Linked DNA regions of Mytilus edulis. The protein of the gene in region 1 interacts with the protein of each later gene in a pairwise test. Links are inferred from orthologs where the notes say so. Each region holds a gene or a part of one and is shown on either strand. Other genes may lie near its edges.

Region 1 (12,274 bases):
TTTTTTTTTTTTTTTTTATCCGAATTTGCATGAAAATATTAAAAGATCTTAAAACAGTATATCTTTTTTTTCTCTGTCAAACCTTTGAAGAGACAACCAAAAGCCACGAATTTAAAATGAGACTTGTAAATTTGAACTTTTTGAATAAAAGGGCATCTAATTTACGTGATGAAGGAAGATTATACTTAAAGACAACAATTTATCAAGAAATAATTCCTTTTTATTCAGTAAAATCAAAATCTTCTTGCAAGATTGTAAATTCACAACTTCCGGATCAATTTCCCGTCAGAATAACATTGAAAATATTCGATTGCACATGGTTTTGAACAAATCTACCTGAATATTCTTATCAGATATTCGATAACACAATGAAATTAACATTGAGCATATAGGTAAGGGTTTGGTAGTACAAACAACTACAGCGTAAAGTACTGTGCCAATTCACTTGTTTTACTTCTTTACGTTCGTTAAATCAGAAGATAAAAACAGAGAACATCGAATATCGATTAACTGCGTCTCTTATACGCTTTCTTTTAATCTTATTCGCAATTACTTTCAAACGCAAAGACGACAAACATTAAGTTTTGTACGATGACGGAGCGGACCCAAAATAAATCCAAACAAGAATGTGTCCAAAGTACACGGATGCCCCACTCGCACTATCATTTGCCATGTTCAATGGACCGTGAAATTGGATAAAAAATATGATTAAGCATTAAAATTAGAAAGATAATATCATAGGGAACATGTGTACTAAGTTTCAAGTTGATTAGACTTCAACTTCATCAAAAACTACCTTGACCAAAAACTTTAACCTGAAACATGCACTTTCATTTTCTATGTTCAGTGGCCCGTGAAATTGGGGTCAAAAGTTTAATTTGGCTTTAAAATTAGAAAGATCATATCATAAGGAACATGTGTACTACGTTTCAAGTTGATTGGACTTCAACTTCATCAAAAACTACCTTGACCAAAAACTTTAACCTGAAGCGGGACAGACGGACGAACAGACAGACGGACGAACGGACGCACAGACCAGAAAACATAATGCCCCTCTACTATCGTAGGTGGGGCATAAAAAAACATTAAAAAAAGAATTTGAGTCGGCAGGTTTATTTTGGGTCGGTCGCGTTTGGGCAAACATACAATCTTTTTATTTTGGCCTGACTTCAATAGAGGAATTGATAGAAGACATCATCCAATTAAAATTACTGTTATATGCTTAATTGCATTATAATACAAAATATCACGTAAATTACAAAGAAAACAGATATTACTTATAACCATTTGGGTCAACATCTTTAATTGTTTTTACATATAAATATGCAGATATGGCAACGTTTTTTCCTGTAGCTCAGTCCATATTGTAAACTTGGATATGTATGATAGCTCGTTTTGAAGCTGTGACATTTTCACATATGTGGTTAAATTTTCAGGGTACAAAGTGAGACTACTTTTTTGTAGATTAGCATACCCGAACATCCTTTCGTGATGCGGCTCCTCTGGGTAATTTTTTTTTAACACAATTAGTTCTTTGAAAATTTAATACTTTGAACACATTTAATAGGTCCATAGATTTTACACATTTATTCTATGTTCCTCTACTTTCGTAATCACCATAAATGGTTAAGCTCAGTCAATTGTAGAAACATGTCCAATATCACTCATTTCGAGGCACATTATGAATATTGACCCATTTGGCAATGAACTCTGTAAAAGTGAATGCCAAAGCTATCAAAAATAAACTTCACTAATATTTTATGTTATTCCTTGAAAGAGGTTTTGATTGAAGTATCTGATATACTGTATCCATTGCTTCCAAAGCAGAAATAAACACAAAAAGGTTTAACAAGGAATTATTTGAATCTGAGTTATTTTGAAATCTAGACAATTGATAAGAAATTTAAGATAAAACTAACCCTTCTAAATATAGGTCCACCTTTCAAGAAGGAGATACCATTTCAGTCATTAAAACTCAAGTTTCATGACAATCTACATTGTATGAAGGTTAACCAGATGCTCCACAGGGCGCAGCTATATACAACCCCAGAGGTTGAACCCTGAACAGTTGGGGCAAGTATGGACACAACATTTAAGCTGGATTCAGCTCTAAATTTGGATTGTGATTAAATAGTTGACACAGCATAGGTTTCTGACACAGAATGAATGTGGTCTAATGAACTTAAAATATTTTTTTTGAATTTGAGCAATTCACTATGCTGTTGAATATTAATCCTCTCAAAAAAATGTTTGAAGAAATTTTCTTTTTATTTATGAAATCTGAAATGAGAAAAATTTAACCCCCTCCCCCCCGATTTTTTCTTCACATCCCCCTTTCCCTTTTACCAATTTTAAAAGGGTTAGGGTAAAAATATGAAAGTATGAAAAGAGCTTGCTACTAAAATAAAGCCTTTAGGAAAAGTTTTGACCTGCACAAATATATGATGTATAAGAAATATCAGAAATAACAACTTACCTATACAAACATCGATTTTCCCTTTGATAGCAGCTTCATGAAGAGGTGTATAATTCCAATTGTCTCTTGCATTAGCATCTCCGCCACTTCTGAGCAATAGCTGAACAACCTCAGCATGTCCAAAGGAGCAGGCATTATGAAGGGGAATCAATCCACCATCATCCTTAGCATGGACACTAGCACCACATTCAAGAAGATGCTCTACTACATCCTTTCTACCAAATCCTGTAACGTATAATTGTGATATTTAATTCTACTCATACTCAATCTAAAATAATTATTCATAAGACATAACATCGCATGTGACTGCTAAATATAGATTTTTACCACTGCATCAAGTGTGATACAATACAATATTTATCCTCTAGAGATAGTTTAAATTTTCAAATTTAAATTGTGAGGCTCGCCGAGCCTTTTAAATATTTAAATTTAGCTGTGGAGTGCGGATAAATATGATTACACAAGATTTAACAGTGGAATCAGTTTCTCAAACTATTTTTAAACAATATGAAAGCAAATGTATTCCTTCTTTTCAAGTGATCTACAAAAAGAGGTGTGTTTTTCATCAGACATGGTCGCATTTTTTCATGCCGTCATATTAAAAAATTCAGAGGAAAGAAAAAGAATTTGACATCATTATCGAATTTTAACAATGAAAAACTGAGATCAAAGGAACCACACATTGATTTAATAAATATAATCAACATGGAAGGAAAAGGAGAAATCATGTAAGAATTAGAGAAAGTGGTATATATTCATCATGTTCAAAGGATTCCCAAATACAGTTCTGGAATAAAAAATGTTTAAGAAAGATGAAGGGGTCTATGACCATCAAATAAAACAAGTGACCTGGATTACAGTGGAGTCCCTGGTTTCTGTGTGGCCAGTGATATCCCAATTAGCTGATTTCGTTCTATCAACATAGTTTCACAAATAAAATAATTCTTGTTATTGTTTTAGCCTTCCAAAGGGATAAAAAAAAGAATAAAATTGATAAGTGGAAGAGTTAATTCATAATTACTGTAATCCCCTGATTTACCATATTTGGCTAATTTCCATTAAAACAAAAATACATCATCAGATAAAATTTGTTTTATTTTGACTAAAAAATAACTTTAATTATGTTAAAGGTAATTTAAATTCTATTAAACAAAGAATTAATGACCAATGTTTGCAAGTCCAGAATGCAAATATATTTGAATCCAAAAAGTTAGACTTTTTCAAGAGTGTCTACATAATGGGCAGAAGACCACCCTATGTTGATATATTGAAAAACAGAAGTGACAGAGCAGCAATATGTAAGATCCGTATAAGCGCTCATATACTGATGATTGAAAGAGGGAGACATCTAAATATTCTCAGAAATGAGAGATTCTGCTCTGTATGTAATTCTGGTCAAATTGAAAATGAAAAACATTTTCTTTTATATTGTGAAAAATACTCAACTAAAAGTGGCATATTTTACCATAAAGATTCAAATATAATCGTTGATCCTACAAAATTTCAAAAACATGAAAATAATATAATCTTTTTATTAAATAATAATTCATACACAATCCTAAAATTGACTTCCTCTTTCATCTCAGACAGTTTGAACCTGCGTAAAGCAGAACAAACTCTATAAAATTGTCAATATGTCTAATTCATAATCATTGTTTATAATTATAATATTACATATCAATATAGTCATTATTTGCAATACTTATTATGTTTGACCAACTATGTAATTCATATACCATGAGCCTTAACCATTTAATTTATTGTTGATGAGTTTGTGCTAATAAAATATTTGTAAAACATTTGTATTTGTATTTATATCAGATTGAAATTTTTTTTGCCCTGCATCCTTTGCAGTGTGTTAGGTTCAAATTCAGCTATATTTCATAGTATAAAATCTTTCCTTTATTGAAAATAAGCTTTTTTTGGAAGGCATGCACGAAATAACTGGACATTGGAGGAATTCTCAGATAAGGGGTTTCCCTAATTTTGGACACACATAACACTAAATATTGAGGGTGAAACCATACAAACAGAAAATTTTATGAAATAAAAGTATGTTATGAATGTGTTCACACAATATTATCCAATTATTGGTTTTATCAGTTGAATGAAGTGAAGTCATAACTCTTACATGTAAGTGTGCCGAGAAACCAGACTGCACCCTAGTCCAAATAATTATGGCTTGAAAAGCTATATTAATTTTTGCTTTGCCAGCTTTCTGCAGCATAGTACAATGTAGTAAGATTTAGAGAGGGGGGGATAGGAGGGGTCCTGATCCCGAAATCCCGGGTTTAAACACATGAAATCCCGGGCTTAAAAACACGAAATCCAGAGGTCCCGAAATTAGAATAAAGAAATTCCCGGATCCCGAAAGTGTCAATCCCGAAATCCTGAGCTTAAAAACACCCGATCCCGGAGTCCCGATAAAGCTTTAAGGTCCTATCCCCCCTCATTTAGACATTTAAGTAAATAAATAAAATAGTCTTTCAAGACATCATAAGAATTTGGACTAGCCTTTGATATGCAGATACATATGCATGATGTAAATATTTATTATGACTAAATTATATCATAATATGCAATGATATGAGAATAAAATTTAGATTGGTATTTAATATTTTTCAATCAATTCATTAGGACAAAGTCTGTTTAAATTCTTGAGTATCAGATTTATCTTTTCTAAATTACAGAGGCTTGAAAAGGGTAAGGTGGTTGTAGGTGAGGCGATTTTCAAAATTCAAATGTAGAAACGAAAACAAACCTGCAGCGAAATGGAGAGGAGACGACTTCCGCCCTGCTGTATCTTTCGAGTTCACATTGTGACAATTGACTAGCTTTTTTACTTTGTTCAAATCTCCATTTCTGCAAGCTTCGAAAAGTTCTCTTCCAGGATCATTATGGGACGGAGAACCTCCTATTTCACTCTGGAGAAGCGAGCGACGGGTTGTCGCCATCTCCAATTTTCATAATTCTCGCAAGCTATCGCCAGATGCGAGATATATTGAGTAAAGGAGAGATTTAATTTATTTTTAAAATTCCGTATTTTTCACAAATTATAGATTAAAAAATACATCAGTATTAATTATAAATCAAAATTGATTTCAATTAAACATTTGATAGTATTTCAAATTAATTCATTTATCTGAAAATACAGAAGGATAAATATATATATATTCAAAATAAAATCTTTCTTTTATTCATTTTAACTAATTGATAACAGGTGCAGGTGCTCTATCCAGCTACTGTATACATATCTCTATATTTCTTTGTTATAACAGGTATGATGAAAAATAAAAACTGGAATGTGTACTAGACAAAAACACTTAATAAGAAACCAAACTCTTTCTGAATGACATTGTGTATTATAAATCTTGTCACCTCTTGGCCTTGGAATAACTTTTTTTGCTTTAGTTTAGGGTTTATAAGTCAAGTGTCTTCGGGTGCAGGTGTAAAAAACAGTGAACTTCTAGAAATTTTGTATATGTTAGTAGAACCTTGTGTCATAGAATTTGAGTTGTGGTATAGATAAGTAAAGAGACATTTATTTTTTAGAGTGAAAGGATGGCTGAAGAGAAGGTTTTGAATTGGGGTATATGTGGCGCTGGAAAAATCAGCAATGATTTCTGTTCTGCAATGATGACATTGAGCAGATATGAAAGGGAACATAAGGTATTGTATTAATGTTTTATAATATACATAATATTTTTTAATACAAGTTAGTGCATCTTTATCAGATGTTAAGGTTCCACTAAAGTTAAAATATAGAAAATTGCATAAACATCAAAACCTTGCCTCTATTTTTCAATCTAAAATGAAGAAATCCCTAAACTATGGGAACATAGTTCATTTAACCATACTTAACGTATTCACACTGTGTAAATTGTAAACATGGTAAATAAACTTAGAATTTTTGTGTTATGGTCAAACCGGTTTTGGAAGTGAACACTAAATTTTCCAAAAAATTTGGAGGCCTGCTAGATTTTGTGTTATGGTCAAACCGGTTTTGGAAGTGAACACTAAATTTTCCAAAAAATCTGGAGGCCTGCTAGATTTCGTGTTATGGTCAAACCGGTTTTGGAAGTGAACACTAAATTTTCCAAAAAATCTGGAGGCCTGCTTGAAGACTTAATTTGTTTAAAATTGGTATGAACGAATACTTCTACATGTAATGCAGTACATGTACAAGCTAATGTTGATTTTTAAGAAAATGTATTGATTTAGGAGTTTCAGTTAATTTTATGTATCTGAGTGAACGAATATCGAAGGTACAATACAGAAATTGGACAAAAATGTCATTGAAACATATGTATGTGACAAATAAGCAGTAGCTTGTACTGCATTACATGTAAAAGTATTCGTTCATAGCAATTTTAAACGAATTAAGTCGTCTAGCAGGCCTCCAGATTTTTTGGAAAAATTAGTGTTTAACCCCAAAACCGGTTTGACCATAACACAAAAATTTCAAGTTTATTTACACAGTGTGTATATGTGAAGTATGTTCAAATGAGCATATGTTCCCATATAGTTAAGGAATTTATTCATTTTAGGTTGAGAAATACAGGCAAAGTTTATATGTTTTTGTAGTGTCCCAGACGATTGCAATAGTTCAAAATACAGTGTTCTTGATATTGGACATACACATGGGTTTTTGATGAGTTGAAAAGAGTGTTTTAAACAGTAAATTTAAAAGTACTAATTCTACTTTTTTGTTGAATCTTTGTACATATTGTAATTAAATAGTTATCAAAGGTACCAGGATTATAATTTAGTATGCCAGACGCACGTTTCGTCTACATAAGACTAATCAGTGACGCTCATATCAAAATATTTATAAAGCTGTTTTGTAAACAGGAAATTTATAAAAATGACCACATTACATGTATTGATATTCATGTCAACACCGAAATGTTGACTACTGGGCTGGTGATACCCTCATGGACGAAACGTCCACCAGTAGTGGCATCAACCCAGTGGTGTGAATAGTTATCAAAGGTACCAGGATTATAATTTAGAACGCCAGACACACATTTCATCTCCATGTAAATTAACCATCAACAGAATGATCAGGTATGACCAAAAGTTTGAAAAACTGATGAACCTTTTTGAGATCACAAAAAACAACTCATTCCAAGGTTGACTTTGCCTAAATTTTAACTTAACTTTCATCATGTTCAGTACGTATGTTACCAAACAATTACAAGCATAAAATATAATTAAACGCATATGCATGCCAATACTCAAAATACTACATGCTTCTATGCAGATGATAATCTTGGGGAGTGATTATCCAATCTTTTAACAGTTTACAGTTGGTTATTTTTTATTTTTAGATTACTGCTATTGCTGCCAGGTCCCAAGAAAAAGCCCAAAAGTTTGCAGATATATTTGAAGCACCAAAAGCTTATGGTTCTTATAAAGATGTAGCTAATGACCCAGATATTGGTTTGTATTTATTATTTTTGATATTCATTTTTTTAACACTGTTAAGTAGAAAATAAGATGATCATAGGAAATGTATTGATTCAGTGTATAACAATACTTTATTTTAATTTTTTATTTTAAGAGGGTTACACAGTTAGCTATATAACTAATCTTCCCTGAGGCCCTCATCATGAAAAATCAAACAAAATGCAAACATATACATTGCATACATTAGTATAAAAAGTTATGTATGATAATAATGTTCAATACAACTTGATAAAATGTGATGAAAAAATAAACATGATGACATAATCAGTTTTTAATATTATTTATACAGCTAGGCCGATTTCAATAAATGATCTGTTATTTTGTATTTGAAAGAATTAACATTTGTAATATTTCTTAACAGTATTGGCAAATTATTCCACAAGAATGGTCCAGAAAACATAAAAGATTTTTTTGAACAATTCTGTTTTTAGTTTAGGGAGTATGAGGTTTCCTTGAACAACATTTCTCAAGGGGTATGTATTTCTTTCTGAAACATAATGAAACTTGTTAGTAAGATATGATGGGGCATCATTTTTGATGCACTTAAATGTCATCAGAAACTTGTGGTATTTTATTCTCTGATAAACTGTCATCCAGTTTAAGTGTTTGAATAAGGGCACAGAAGGAGCGAAAGGGTGTGTTTCTAGTATTAATATAGCAGCTCTCTTTTGTAATTTTAATATCCTATTTGAACCCTCACTGCTGCAACTACTCCACACTATACAACAATAATCAATTAGTGGCAAGATATAACCATTATAGAATAATTTTCTGCAGTCTAGATTTAGAAATTTTTTAATCTTTCAATAGTAGATTTTATTTCCAGAAATTGTCTACATCGGGGTGATACATACAGAGCATGTCAGATTGAGTATGATGATGTTAGAGGCTGGAAAACATGTGGTATGTGAGAAACCATTGGCACCAACCTGGCAAGAATGTAAAAAGGTCCTAGATTATGCCAAAGAGAAAAAACTACTGTTCCTTGAGGTAAGCTTATTGAGCTAGTTGTAAAATTTATGATTATGTACACAATATGCATTTTAATCTTTAGATAGGTCAGCATAATAAAGGCCAATGCAAAGATTACTTTCTTTTAGATTGTTATAGAAAACATGTATCTTAAGCAATGTAGATTTCCTTTGAAAAAGGTAATTTTGTGAAATTTAAATTTTTGGGAAGAAAAAAATCTATAAAATATGAATTTCTGACCCTTGTCAATTTTGTCCAAAATCTGTGTTATGAAATTCATTTTGGTCAAATATGTCAATTTCAACATACCGGTACTTATGATTGATCCACAATGACATCACAGTTATTTTAGTTTTATGTCTATATTTAGGCAGTTTGGAGTAGATTCTTCCCAGTCTATGATGCAATCAAGGATGAAATAAATTCTGGAAAACTAGGAGACATTTCCATGGTAACCACACAATTCTGTATTCCTATTATGTCAGTAGAACGTTTATGCAAGAAGGATTTAATGGGTGGTGTACTTCTAGATATAGGAATCTACTGTATACAGTTTGCTTGTCATGTATATGGAGAGATGCCAGAAAAGATTATTGCAACTGGTAGCCTAAATGAGGAAGGTAACCACATGAGTCACCAAATACTTCAATAGTCTGCTGTTAAGTGTGGATTATATACTTATGAAAAAAGTTTATTTGCTATAATGTGTATCACAGAGAAGTTTATTCTTATTTGTATACATGACAAAAAGCACAACCGCAATAGTCTTTTAAAGACTACTAAAGAGAGATATAATATCTGCATTAGAAAATTCAATGTTAGAGAAAATGCAAATGACCAAGCTCATTTTTAATGAACTTTTGAATATTCTTTAATTTTGCTTTCTTATTAAGAAAAAACTAAAATAAATTAAAATAATATGAGTTATCTCCCCTTATAAAGTAAATATGATAATTATAAATCTATCAACAAATATTGTGCATATAAAAAAGTGTTCCAAAATTAACTGCATTTCTGACTCTAATCCCATTAGAATTATGTAAAAATATTAAGAAGAATAATCAAGTGAAGCTTCTTGAATATATTATATACAGGTGTGGATGAAGATGGATGTGTAATATTATTATACAGTGGAAATAGAAAAGCTAGTTTGGTATACAGTGGTAAAACTGCCTCTGGGAACAATACAGCTACCATAATGGGATCAAAAGGTCAAATTTTTGTAAGTTTTTATGATAAATGTGTGTTACTGTGTATAGCTCCTGATAATTCGTTTCATAGTTTTAATAAACATTTTATTGTTAAAATCTGTGAAATATTTATGTTCTATGATGTTAGTTGCTCGTATATTTCCCTTAAATTTTATGTGTCGAGGCTATTATCAAAGCAAACTATAAATTTCTAGTTACACAGAAAGAAAAAGATTAATAAACCATGATTTAAAACACTCTTTTAAAAAATTGGTTTGCTTATCTATGGCATGCAAATGTGCGTACATGAAGATAAATTGTTGTAGCTTTCAAAATTTAGACAGCGCAAAACGGTTCTTAAAAGGAAAATATTTCAACATGGTGCAGCAATATTCTTGTATACAGTTTTTCCTTGCACCTTTTGATGAAGCATAAGAAAGAAAATTTATATGAAAATGATAGATGCTGTTTAGACAGCTTTACAATAACAAAAGTTGAAGGAAAATTTTAATTAAGTTGTGCAAAAGGGCTGCCTTTAAATACATAGTAAAGGTCGCTTGAAGGTCATTTTATATGTACAGTAACACTGACCTTGGCACTGAAAGATTATTGATATCCCTAAAAGTAAAGCCAAAGTTAATAAAATTAAAACGTGAAACTGACATGAAACCAGTTGAATTTTTTATTAAAATAATGTGACAGAAAATGAGGAAATGATTTATTATTTTACAGATTGATGATTGTTTCTGGTGTCCCAAGTCTGTAAAGCTGACAGAAACAACATTAGAAAATAAGATACCTGAAGGTCCATCACCGTATAACTTTTATAACAGTGGTGGACTACGATATGAAGCTGACCATGCATTCAAATTAATCAGAAGTGGTAAGGTTAACCAGGGTTTCCCCTGGGTCAATTATTTTTGCCACCTCTTTTGCCAAAACAATATATTGTTTGCCACTTTGATATTTTTTTCGCCAAGTAACATATTTTTCTCCCCCTCCCCCCTAAATAAGATGAGTTTGCCCCATCTTTGTCTATGATTATTCTCTCAAACTTATCTTAGAGTCTACGTAATGAATAAACACTTAACATTTACTATTAAAAAGACGGAACTTTTTTAAAAGGGTGAAAATTCATTATACATGTATTTTGAACAACTTTTCTTTAGAGGGGGCCACTTACTTTTGATAATAAAGAAGATATCAGTCCCATAATATAACAAAATTCTTGGACATGTTTTGACAATATATTACAAGAAATATATACAGTTCTTTGAGAAAGTTTCATTAAAAGAAAAATAGGTGCCCTTTTGGTCTATGAAGTGATTTTTACAACAAAACAAAAGCTTTTATCAATTGGAATTGATCCCTCAATTAAGGTGTAGGTAACCATTGAAGGGTTACTCCCTTTCGAGACGTTGGTCCCAATCTTTTGCAAAGATTTCTTCATAATGACAGTTTTCTTCTAGTCTAGGCCATCGAAAATGAAAAAGTTGAGACGTAAAACTATGCTTGAAACATGTCGTGACACACAAACGACTTTAAAGTACTCTTTAAAATCAATTACCTATATCAAGTTTTAAATCGGCGATTTTTCTTGCTTTTAAATTTTTTTCGTCATTACAACAGTTTTCTTTCATTAAAAGAAGGAAAGGAAACGTCAAGAGTTTGCTTCGAACATGTGCGTCGCAAAGTAGTTAATTAACGATCCTTTTGTGACATGTGATAGACGCCATTTACCCATATTATTTTGTCAACAATACAATCAACACCGTTATTGATTAGTCCTTTGTTGTAATCCTTTGTTGTCGATATCACAAAATGCAATCAGCTGATTATTGATTTTCTGTCAAAATCTAAACGAGTTCAAGGTGAATTCTGAGTATATTGTCTGATCAGATAAAATTGAGAAACCCGAAAAAATGTAAATAAACAACATGGCTGAAAATAAATCGTATATATATTTCTTTCGCCAAATTCTTTCGCCAATGACGAATTTTAATCGCCACAATTATTATTTTTTTGCAAATTGTGAAAATGGTGACCAACAGCGAAAACCCTGGTTAACTATACACATGTCTAAATTAACATTTTAATGCCATACTTTTTTTTCCACTTTGTATAACCATGTTCTGTGTCAAGCAAAACATGAGGTACACTAACTTGA
Region 2 (12,567 bases), on another chromosome or scaffold:
TCCCGGCTCAAGCGAGAAAATCAATCTTGTTGAGATGATCAACGATAATCTATAAGTACATAAAAGAAACATCAGAAAATTCACATGTCAGCAAAGGCCAGCTTGCATATTTTGGATGAAGTACACAGTCTGACACTCATAAAACAATCAATTTTCTAGGGCGTCTATTTTCTTAAATATTGACATCAGGAATGTGCTGTGCATGAGGTCTTATTTTTATTACAATGTATATTGAAGATTAAAAAATAGATATGTAAAATTACCACAGTAACACTGTGTTGCCAACTGATATTTTAGGAAAATTTAAAATGAAAAATATAATTGTGTAAGTTAACGGAAAAGTGGCAAAAGAGCTGGCAAAAAAAAATGACCTAGGTGAACCCTTGTACACTGGACATAAAATTTTAGGTATTTTAGGAATTGGGTGAGGTAATCTTGACTTATTGTAGGACAAAGAAGTGTAGACAGGCAGACAAACAGACGGGCCTTGCTCTAGAGCACTAGTCCACGTTTCTATATTTACAGCTCACACATTAACACATTTCTTTATTTACAGCAAAAACAATAACTCATTTCTATATTCACAGCAAAAACATTAACACAGTTCTATATTTACAGCAAAAACATTAACTCATTTTTATATTCAAAGCATATACCATGTATACCTCAATAATCTTTATTTTATCTTCCTGAGTTATTTTCTTGTTATATGTATCCACGTTTATTCTGAATGTCTTCTCAGCACTGAAACCTGATTTCTATAAAATAAAATGCATACTGTGGATTCATTTCTATGCCTGGGTATCAACTTTTTGTGAATTGAGGAAAATTGCACTTTCATAGATATTTTGTTTTGTGGTTTTACCAATCTCAACATACAGCCTTGAAAAAATTAGTAACTTGTTGAACATTTTAATTCATGGTTCACCAATACCCACGAAACCAATAAAAAATGGTATCCAACGAATGATTATAAATCCACAGTAAATAGTATGCTAGTTTAATAAAGAGGAAGGATATGTATACACTGTCTTTTCTGTTCAAAAAGATTAGGAGCAAAACGTATATAAAATTGAGAATGGAAATGGGGAATGTGTCAAAGAGACAACAACCCAACCATAGAGCAGACAACAGCAGAAGGTCACCAACAGGTGTTCAATGCAACGAGTAATTCTCCCACCCGGAGGCGTCCTTCAGTTGGCCCCTAAATAAATATATACTAGTTCAGTGATAATGAACACCATACTAAACTCCAAATTGTACACAAGAAACTAAAATGCATTGAGTAATCAAAGTAGTATTTATTACAAAAAAAACCTTTGGTTTGAACTTTAAACTGAACTGACATTTTCTTAAGCCATGTTGAACATATGTATTGCGTCAAAATTTTGTATGACGCCAGAAATTAAATATGCATGTCTAGTGTTTTTAATACTTGTCATGCTTGGATACATTAATATAGTCATAGGTTTAAATCAAAGAGCAGAATGCTCTGAGGGATATGATTGCCATTGTTTTCATTGACGCATGTATAGCAGTTCTGCCAACTTTTCATGAAGCAAATGCGCGAGATTTGGCCAAAATTGAAAAGATCAAGGAGAAAAAAAAATAGATCAAAGGATAATGCAGCAAAAAAGCGTAAACATGCGTGCATCTCACGCATTTCTGGCAGCCCTGGTATAGTTGGATAGTATTATTTTCAAAACTAATTCAAACATGTAAAACGTAATTTTTGTAATCTAAATAGTTACTCAATTTTAAAAATAGCCGATCCCGGATACAAGTGTATGAGCAATGTACTTATTGTGTTTTATTTTTGTACTATCAATTCCAAGTTTACACAGCAGTCACTGAGAGTGAGAGAAGGTATTTCACTTCGTATCTAATCCCCGTTAATTCTAGGAGGAACCCCATTTCTAACTCTTTAAATATTTAATTTCCTTTGGGTCAGTGGGCATGACTCCTTTCCGTACACACTTCTCTATTTAAATTGCGATTGTTTTTAATATAATACGACGTTTATTCGACATCTATTAAACGAGTCAATTTTTCTCGACGAGTTGCATTGTATTTTGATGGTAATTCAGTGGTTGTCGTTTCTTTATGTGTTACTATTTGTTTTTCGTTCATTTTTTTATATAAACAAGGCTGTTAGTTTTCGCGTTTGAATTGTTTTACATTGTCATATTGGGGCCTTTTATAGCTGACTATGTGGTATGGGCTTTGTTCATTGTTGAAGGCCGTACGGTGACCTATAGTTGTTAATGTCTGTGTCATTTTGGTCTCTCGTGGACAGTTGTCTCATTGGCAAACATACCACATCTTCTTTTTTATATGTTACTTCTTTACACAATTTTATTTAGGAAAAAGTTAAATCATTTTTTCAATATCATTTTACTCCCTTTCAAACTCTGAAGATTACATTATCTATAATGTTACATTAAAAAATTTAGAACCCCTTTTCATATATTTGTTACCTTTATTTCAGCTGGTATTGTTTCTACCTGTTCAGAAACTTCTTTATATGTTGCTCCATGACCCCATACTTCATACAGAGACCTACAATATATACACTCTCAATATAACAGGCTATTATTTAAAGTTGGAATTATTTTTAATTATGGAATTTGTTAAATTTTCTGTGCTGGAAATTTTTAATAAATTCCATGTTTATTTGGTATAATAATGTTTTGAGCGGTTCATAACACTTTCCATATAATGTATTTTGTATTATAGTGTTGTGCGCGGCACAGTACATTCTATTGAAAATGTACTATCTTCTTTGTAAAAGAAAGTGTTGTGCGCAGCACAGACCATTGAAGTACAGAATAAGCATGGAATTTACTAGAAATTTCAAGCACAAGAAATTATAAAAATTCCATGATTAATAATAATTCAAAGTTTAAATAATAGCCTGTTATATGTTTATAAGTTATTTAGGGGGGGGGGGGTAATTTTCTTGAAATTAATGTTAATATTAATGCAAGGACAAATTAACTTAGTAAACTATTAACAAAAGCTATTAATTCCTATAAACTGATTTGACCAAAAAAAAAAATCATCATCACTTAATTTTTTCTGAGTCTAACATATTTCAGCTGTCTGATTTAACTATGTGTAGTCTTGGACTGACCTACAATTTAAATTGCCTAACAGAAAAATAATTACCAATAATGTGTGAAATAATGTTTGGGTTGATTTCTTTGAAGATGTTAAAAAAACATTAATGATACAAAAATACCAAACAAGACATGTGTGGTAAATAGCCGTGAGTAGTCCTAACTAAAATATGAGGTTAACTTTTGTAACAAATATTTGTTGACATACTTGATTAGGACGGTTCTACTCATCAAATTTCTGGCTTCTTTCTCTGAATTCAGTTCTACCATCAGATATGGCGACTACAAAATAATAATTATCAAACTATACAGAGTTCACTGCTTAATAATTGAACTCAATCATTAGGAGTAATTAGTATTAAAATAATTGCTAATTCTCTTTTATGGTAATCACTGTTTTGAAACCACAACTAGATCAGCATATATAATACATTATTGGCAAAATCTTTCAGACTTTCAGTCTCAATGCTGTTCAACTTTTGTACTTTATTTGGCTTTTTAACATTTTTTAATTGTGCACGACACTGATTAGTCTTTTGTTTACAACAGATTCTATTGTATTTATAAATCATAATCTAGTATCTTTAAGAAGTTTGATATGTTTCAACCAAAAAAGTAACATAATCTTTCTCTTTAATGTGGGTCTCATTGGGGTATAAGCGTGACGCGGGATTGGCGATTTTTTGTAAGTGTGACACGTGAAAGTCAAATTATTGTGTCGTGAAAACTTGAAATGAGGTCTAGCGGGACCCGGGAAATGACAAAAAAATGAGAATTACTTACGTACATAGTGTAAGCGGGATACGGGAACCTGACAAAAAGTAAGCTGAATCCGGGATCGGAACCCCCCCAATGAGACCCCCTTTAATAAGGTTGATGTTAGACACTTAAAATAATACCTTTTATGATCAAATTTATTTTCAAGATTTATAAAGTGAAATTATTAAATTTGAGTCTTCCATCATCATGATCATTTGTCATTATTTATATTCATAAAAAAAAAAATGAAAATTTTAATTTCCTGAAACAAAATTGCAGAAAGCTTAACACTGCTTAAGGTGAATAGAAAGGGCTTAGTACAAAATAAAGTATCCACAAATATAACTTGATTTACAGTCTTTTTAAATATGACTTACACCAGGACTAGAACTATATTTATCTTCTGCCAGAGGTTTTGCAGTAAAACCAAACAATTCACTTATGGCTTTTATCTCCTGAAAAAAAAATGATAATAGAAGCACATTTATTTGTTATCATGGTTATGAAACATACATGTACCTGCCAACTGTCACTATTTGCAGGTGATTTCCCCCATGGAGGCTCCCAAAATGAAATTTTGAAAGAGCAATTTTGTTCACAATTTTAAACAAAACAATTAATTTTACAATGACATTAATTAGGCTTATAAAAGTATGAAGAAGCCAAAAAACAACATTAAAATGTATTTGAAGGCCCCTTGAAGGTTTTTTTAGAACTATGACAGCCATCTTGTATGCAAAACCCCCATGGGCATTTTGAAAAGTTGGCAGGTATGTGAATAAATATTGACTGTTTATAATAGACACATATACATGTACAATATCATGTTGTTCATACTTGTTTGAACCTGTCATCAGTAAGGAGTCTGTTGTTCAGTGGTTGTTGTTTGTTGATATGATTTATAAGTGTTTCTCGTCTTTCATATAGATTAGAAAGGGTGTTTCCTGTTTTTCTGAATTATTTACACTTACTCATTTGGGGCCTTTCATAGCTTGCTGTTCAGTGACTGAGACAAGGCTCCATGTTGAAGGCCTTATTTATGACCTTATAATTTTTACTTTTTACAAATTGAGACTTAAATGGAGAGCTATTTCAATGGCACTCATACCTCATCTTCTTATTTGTATTCTCTATAACAGTTTTCACTGAATGTTATTTGTCACATTTCAGATAAAATTCTTTGAAAAAATACAGGTATTCTCAGTTTTGAACGTGTTGAAAGATTTTAATTGTGCTTCTCTTACCTGCCTCTTTCACATAGGGACTGTACATTAAAAAAGAAATATTATGAACCAATGCCATATATACATCATGTACATGTAAATCTTCAATAGGATTGAATGATTGAAGAATCCCAATGGGGGATACCTTAGGTACATGTATGCAGGTTTGTAACAATGTTAAAATTTTTATATGAGCATAAAATTTAAAGACTTAAAGAAAAATGTGTGATGCAATCACTCTGAGTTGACTCATTGACAGTCAAATTTCCTTTCCAACATCATGAACATATATGTGTAGTCTCACTCTGATTTGTCTTTTTCTCTGTAGACATCAAAAACCTTTCCTTTAGCATGTTTAGACTTTGTCTGAGGCCAAATAAAAATATATGTGTGGTTCCAGTAACCCTACCGTCCCTACTTTTTCGGCTTAAAAATAGCCTACCCTAAAGATTTTATTGGCATTTTTCATTAAGCACTGTTAAAGTCAGAATGTTATCCCATAGACTCAATGTAAAAAAAAAACCATAAAATAAAAAAAATCCCTACCTACCTACCCTTACTTTTTTTCAGATGTAACTGGAACCACACACACTTTTTTATTTGGCCTGAGTTGGAATTACAATTGTTTTTGTTTTTGTTTTTTTTAGTTGACTTCATAGATAACCAGTGTTAAAAATGTAAAATTGTAAACGTTCCAGTTGTCTTGCACTTTATTCCATATAGATGTACAGAGTCACAGAGACCCTAGCTAGAAGTGTCCTGTGAAAACTGTTTAAATATGGAAAAATAAAGGGTGGCAGGTAGGTGAAGCTTACATAAATGAAGATCGAGATAAATAAAAAATGAACAAATTGATACCCAATTTATACAATTCCAAGGCCGTTAGTTGGCACCAGAAGCGACTAAGCAGCGCATCTTTTGGACGGACAAATATCCACTTTTTGATATGGGACAAGCTCTGACGTCCCACACCCCCGGCTTGACGAATCCGGGTCCGTTCGCGCCCATTCATGTTCGCACCCACTCATGTTCGCCCCCTACATGTTCGCACCCAAAGTCCGTTCGCGCCCAATTTTAATTGGTTTTGAGTTTAATAACTTTGTAATCATGTTTTGGCAAGTAGTATTCTTATAAGTATAATAGTTTTCGTTGTCTCAAAATAAAGTGAGACAGCATTTTTTTTTGGTGTTGAATAAATCTTAATTATGTTTTGGATAGTGTATTGTTAAAAAAAAATTATTCCTTTCTAAATAAAGTGGGATTCTGTCAATGTTTTATTTTGTGTTCAATAACTCTTAATCATTTTTTGGTTAGTGTATTAATTGCTTTAACTTTGTTTCATTGACTTGTTTCACAATGAAGTGAGATTCTGACTACGTCTTTTTTTTTTTTGTGTGTTGAATAAATTTTATCATGTTTTGGTTATAATAGTGTATTGCTATATTTTATTGTTTCATTGTTTCAGATCAAAGGGACCAAGCTGTTAAAAACAATTATCTTTTGTGTTTTTCATTTAAAATGATCTAAAATATTCAATCTTTTACTCATACCAAGCTATAAATACATTCAGTAATTACACGAAAGCAATTAAAAACAACAATCATGATTTTCCAATTATTCAACTGGTATTTGAATTAAAATTGGGCGCGAACGTGTAGAGTGCGAACGGACCTTGGGTGCGAACGTGCGAGGTGCGAACGTGTAGGGTGCGAAAGTATATTGGGCGCGAACGGACCTGAAAAAAGGTCCACAAGGATGTGGAATGATTGAAAAACTTACAGCATGTCTGAACTCAACATGTTCATTTGCAAATTGCAACAGATACTTATTGATTTTGGTAGAATTTGATAAACATGTTTTATTTATGGGAGCTGACATCTTTGTTTACATCTGAAAGGAAGTGAGATAAGGGAGACAACTGCCTGTAAAAAAAAGTAAAAATGGCTGGACAAGAAGTCTTATTTTGCAGCGTCATTAATCAATTACGATCGTCTCAAGATGCTCTTGTGACAGTGATACACTGGAATTTAATCTCAAGTGGATTTAAATGCTGTGGAATAGGAGATGATGAGGTGTTGTTTTCGGTGTTGTCAAATTTAATTCTATTTTCACTTTCTATTATTTCTACTTTCTCTTTGATTTTGTCTCAGAAAAAATAAAATACTGGACTATAAATGACAAGCTTCTGTATACGCAAAGAAGGATTAAATGAATGATTTGAAATACTGCCCAAGAAAAACTGACAACAACATTAACTAAGACTATGCATGGCAAAAAAAAAAATCCAAAAATAACAGAAACAGAAATACAAATATCAAATTTATAGTATTATATCCTACCTACATGACATATATTCCATACTCAATTTTTAATGACATAGAAAACTAAAGACTGAACAACAGGAAATGCAACTGTGTAATCTATGGTGCTCTGACAGGTAAGAAAATCCTGCTCAATATGTCCCCAATGTAGTGTTGCTAGGTTGCTGATGGAAATTAGTACAATTATTGTTTGGTTCCTCCTAGTAATTCTTATCACAATCAAGATGAGAGGACATTGCCATTATGCTACTACAATTTGAACATAAATTTGGTCATCTGTAACACAGACATGACAGATGTTCCATATTCATGATATTAAAACAGTCAACAAATCATGAAAATCATGATCATGATTGAATCTATAATACTTGTTATATAATCATCAACACTTTCACACTCTAATGTAACTTATCTTAGATTATTCCTTAAATCTAGACATTGAACATAGATGTATGATACAGAAACTTGCAATTGTCCATCATTGAAGGCTTCTCATCCATAACATTCATGAAATATTTGCCACTGCCTGGATGTGATTGCTTTACCATGTTTACATTTTGTTTGGTGTTACAATAGCATTGAGGTTTACCCCAAATATCATTGCATATGCTAAAATTGAAATATTAAATTTAAGTATTTATGTAATTCCATATTCATTCTGGTGTGTAGAATATCTAGTATAAGACATATCATAATCTTGTGTATCCATGTACCCTCACACTTGTGTCTTTATATAATTGAGGATAAGCGCCTAGGGTAGAATAGTCATATAATTTACTTCAAAAGGACTGATAAAATTACTATGACTGCAGGAAAGGATTGTCTTAACAAAAGTAATCAAATTTATAACATGTATAGTTAAATTTAATTTATCTCTGATATAGAACTATTTATCATGTTTATTATTTACTATTGTCATTGATTGTCAGAAAGCAAAGAATCAGAAGAAGAGTGAAATGTTACCAAATGGTTGGAATGCTAATCAAGACATGTATACCCTGAGATACAAGGATTCATCAGACAAAGTCCACATACTAAAGATTATGAGAGTTGACGAAGATTTACTGGTCCATTTCATGGTTAGTATATTAAATTTTATTTACTAGTACAAGTAAAAATTAATGTAATGCGGTCCCTAATTGGCATGTTTAAATTTTACTTACGAATTTAGTCACAATATTTAATTCCTGAAATAAATACTACATAATAATGCACCACATACCTCAATGGTCAAGTTACATATTGCAGTGGCACTGCATCGCTTTCAAATACAGTAATTTAATTGACTGTTATTCATAAATTATTGCAATAAAATTATAAAGTTGCTGTCTAAAAATGGTTTAGTGCTGTCATTTGTTCATGGAGTTTTCATCTGTAAACATGTTGGATTACATGCAAACGTTTTGTTCTGTTTGACAGCCAGGACAGGTCATGCTGAAATTTAACTATTATATAAATGCAAAGGGTTGGATTGCATTTTTATATTGATTGTTCCAAAATTCTAAACACACACCTGATATATATGTTGTCAATTGTCATATTTATTAAGTTGAAATAAAATATAATATACAATAAGAAAGTGTGGAATGATTGCCATTTGACTTGACTTGCCATCATGTCTGTCAGTGTCAAAGTAACATGGATTTTAGCATTTATACTACTTGAAGATCACAGTTTTGCCATCAATGATGAGCTACCCATACTACAAAGTCAGCTGTAAATTAGTGACAAATTGGGAAACAAGACATGAAAGTAGCATTTTTGTATACACTATTTTGCTATTAAGGTGGTATCCAACACTTTCACTAAAATTAATTTGGCTCGTTTAATTTTCATAAAATGTTGTTAAAGTATTTACTTTGACCCTTTAACAAAAATATAAAAATTTCAAACATTTTGAACAAACCATTTTGTCAGAAAAAATACACTGGTTATATATATATATAGAAGTTTGACAAACACCAATTTTGATCATTGAGAAGCTTAATATTCCCTTTACAACACAACGGAATTTACAGAGTTATCTCCCTGTAGTGTTAGGTACCACCTTAAGACTCCTAGAATCAAAAAGTTCAGTTTATTTTTCTAAGTTCATCTATTTATAACTTAAATTGTTCCTTGAGTTTTCAGGATATTAAATCTGAGAAGGTGACAAGTATAAACATCAGCACAACAGACTATACAACTGGTGACCTGTCCTCTTTTGATGAGTAAGTATCAGAACAGTAAAGCTGTAAAACTGGTGACCTGTAATCTTTTGGCCTGCTATAGGCACATATGTAAAGCAAAATGTTGTCCTATGAAATATTGTACCACAAGACTATATTTCATAACTATATATCATGAAATATTGTCCTCGTCTATGGAAAAGTGTCCAGAGAAGGAAAAATTTTCATAGCGAAATTTTGTCTGTATAAAGACAATATTTCTCAGATGAATGCTATGGATTTTATAGCTATAAATACGTTACCATCATAAATTCTGAGTGTAACCCCAATTGCGTCATAGGTCAGATGGAAAATCCCTACTAAAAATAAACGTACTCTCACTGGTCCGGACATATACCCCTGTTTGCCCATATTCTTCCATTCAATTTCCATCTGCGACATCGGTCACACGTGCACATCAAGTTTTACAGATTCAACAGAGAAGTGTTTAGTTTGTTTTGAATAGCTTAATTGCTTTTCATATATATTGTGTATTTTATTGGAAATATATTCCCTTGTTTTGTTTAAATTTCTAAACAAATTATTTGTGTTTTTTTTACTAAAGTAAAATTTATTATGGACTTTAATTTGAATAGTCCGTATGTAAGTATTCCTGGTTCGGACTATCTCTTAGATGGGTCACTACCTTTAAGTCCCCCCCAAACTACCAGTACATTGACCGGAGTTTCGACAACGGTGTCTGGTAATGCTACCTATCCGACCCTTTCACAAGGTTCGGCCATGCATTTTGGGGGGGTACCTACGTCAACTTCGGTGACTCATACTTTATCTAGGCCTGTTAATTCAGCGGGTACTATTAGTTCTGTCCCAGGTACAGCTATGGGCTTGAACTTGCCAGGTTCTAGACCCCCATTATCCTATTGTGGGTATATGCTTCCCAACACAGGCACACAACCTTTACCCTCATGGTCTCAGCCACCTTGGCCACAGTCTTACCCTTATGGTGGGTTTATGCCAAACCAACCTGGTTTTTGGCCTTATAGAGACAATTTCTATGGTCCCCCTTCTGGGGTAGCTACTGCACCACCTTTAGCTCCTGCTCTACCCGTAGCAGTATCTTTGACTTCTGCAGTAGCTCCTTCTACCACCGTACCTGACTCTCAAGCTTCTAGTTCTTCTCATGGTACTCAGGTTTCTGATCATGCATCACCTTTGGATGGTTTACAGAAGTTACTTTTGGACTTTGGTGAGTCTTTCAAAGCTGAATTTAGCACTCTATCCAGTCGTATGACTCTACTGGAGAATAGAGTTTCTTCTCATCAACCTTCTCCAGCTAAGTCTGTAGAATGTGATGAGAGGGAGGATGACGAGCTTTCTGTTTCCCCTGGGAGTCATGAAAGGGCTTTCATGAAAGGGCTTTCCTCACTGATGAGGATGTTGAAAGTTCTTCTTCTCCCAAGGTATCGAAGACGGCCCTTGAGCCTTCTTCTAAGTCAGCTCAACAACCTCCCACCAAGGAGACTGAGGATCCTCCTTCCTTGAAGGATCTTAGGGATAAGGTGTATACCTTGATGAGGGATGAAGCACATATCCCTTTTGCCTCTCCTTCCAAGCCGAAGAAACCTTCTTCAACTTTTGAAGCTTCCTGTGGTATTTCTCAGGATACTGTGACTTCTCACAATTCTTTTCCTGAATCTGGCCATATGGCTTTTGCTTTACAATTTATTAATGAAGGTATCGCTAATTCTGCTAGTGAAAAGGTTGCTAATAACAATATCTCAGGATTTGGAATGTCATCCTTTTCTGATCAGGTTAAGTACAAGGATTTTGATATCTTTGATTCTTCACTGGGTAGACTTGTTCCCAATTGTGACAAATCTATGTCATCTTTATTGGGAAAAAAGCCAGTAGATGGTCTTCGTCTCACTCAACCTGTTTGGTCAAAGACTGAGAATCTCCTTCGTAGTGCTTCTCAAGTTCTTGGCACAGCCGAACATTTTCTAGCTGCAACCGGACATTTGCTTAACAGCGAAGATTCGGTTGTTCCAGCAGAAGTACGATCCTTCTTACTTCAACTGGATAAAGCTTTAGGTTCATCTCAGTTGCTTTTAATGGGTTCTATTACTAATTGCACCCTATCTAAAAGAGCAGAGTTTCTTGAAAACATTTCTATCGCTGAGCCTTTGAAAGATTCTTTACTGAAATCTCCACTCTCTGACAAGATGTTTGGTTTACCCTTACAGCGGGTTCAAGAGGAACTCAGCAAAAACCCTCCTCCAGTCAAAGTTAGTGTACAAGTTACTAATGGCAAGAGGTCGGTTAATGCTACATCTAGTTCTACTAGTACTTCTGCTTCAGGTGGTCCTCCTTCTTCTGCTAAGAAAAGGAAGAATAACTACGGCAAACCGCAGAACAAACCCAATAACTCAGGAAAAAGCTCAGGTAAGCCTTCTGGTGGTTTTAAGGGTTCCAAGAAACCTGGGTCTAGTACCTAGGTTCTTGCCCCCTCATACGTTATTGACAGCTTCCCCAGGGGAAAATTTACAACAAGTTCCTCAAAAATCAATACCAGTAGGGGGGAGGTTAAGTTTTTTCCTAAATCAGTGGAAGAAAATTACCTCAGACTGTTATGTGCTGTCAATAATTCGAGGGGGATTAACACTTCAGTTCAAGAACCCAGCTCCTCTGTCTGCAGTTCCAATAAGTTTGTCTCATACTCAAGACCCAGTAAAGTGTCAACTTCTATCAGTAGAAGTGGACACAATGTTACAAAAAGCTGCAATAGAGGAGGTGTCGATCTTAACTCTGTCTCCGGGATTTTATTCCCGTCTTTTTCTGGTTCCAAAGAAGACTGGAGGAATGAGGCCGGTCATAGACCTATCTATTCTGAACAAATTTCTTATTGTTCCCCACTTCAAAATGGAAACAAACAGATCCATCAGGGCTTCAATCCTTCCAGGAATGTGGACTACTTCTC

Evidence for each region.
Region 2: the proteins of poly [ADP-ribose] polymerase tankyrase-1-like (region 1) and proteasome inhibitor PI31 subunit-like interact in binary tests that used the Drosophila melanogaster proteins (3 or more experiments, as listed by UniProt). The link is inferred for Mytilus edulis from reciprocal best matches to the Drosophila melanogaster genes Tnks and PI31.

What each region holds. Positions count from the first base shown.
Region 1 is NC_092347.1:81,452,535-81,464,808, reverse strand, and holds the start of poly [ADP-ribose] polymerase tankyrase-1-like, read right to left. Parts: upstream 5,478-12,274; 5' UTR 5,431-5,477; coding exon 5,238-5,430; intron 2,702-5,237; coding exon 2,477-2,701; intron 1-2,476. Other genes in the region: trans-1,2-dihydrobenzene-1,2-diol dehydrogenase-like, read left to right, coding at 6,038-6,145, 7,807-7,918, 8,772-8,935, 9,288-9,537, 10,012-10,139, 10,840-10,990. UniProt on the Drosophila melanogaster protein: Stimulates proteasome activity, probably by ADP-ribosylation of PI31. Modulates 26S proteasome assembly.
Region 2 is NC_092355.1:34,355,329-34,367,895, reverse strand, and holds the start of proteasome inhibitor PI31 subunit-like, read left to right. Parts: upstream 1-7,010; 5' UTR 7,011-7,041; coding exon 7,042-7,173; intron 7,174-8,351; coding exon 8,352-8,501; intron 8,502-9,552; coding exon 9,553-9,632; intron 9,633-12,567. Other genes in the region: tRNA (guanine(10)-N(2))-methyltransferase homolog, read right to left, coding at 666-758, 2,478-2,559, 3,328-3,401, 4,256-4,333, 6,881-6,979.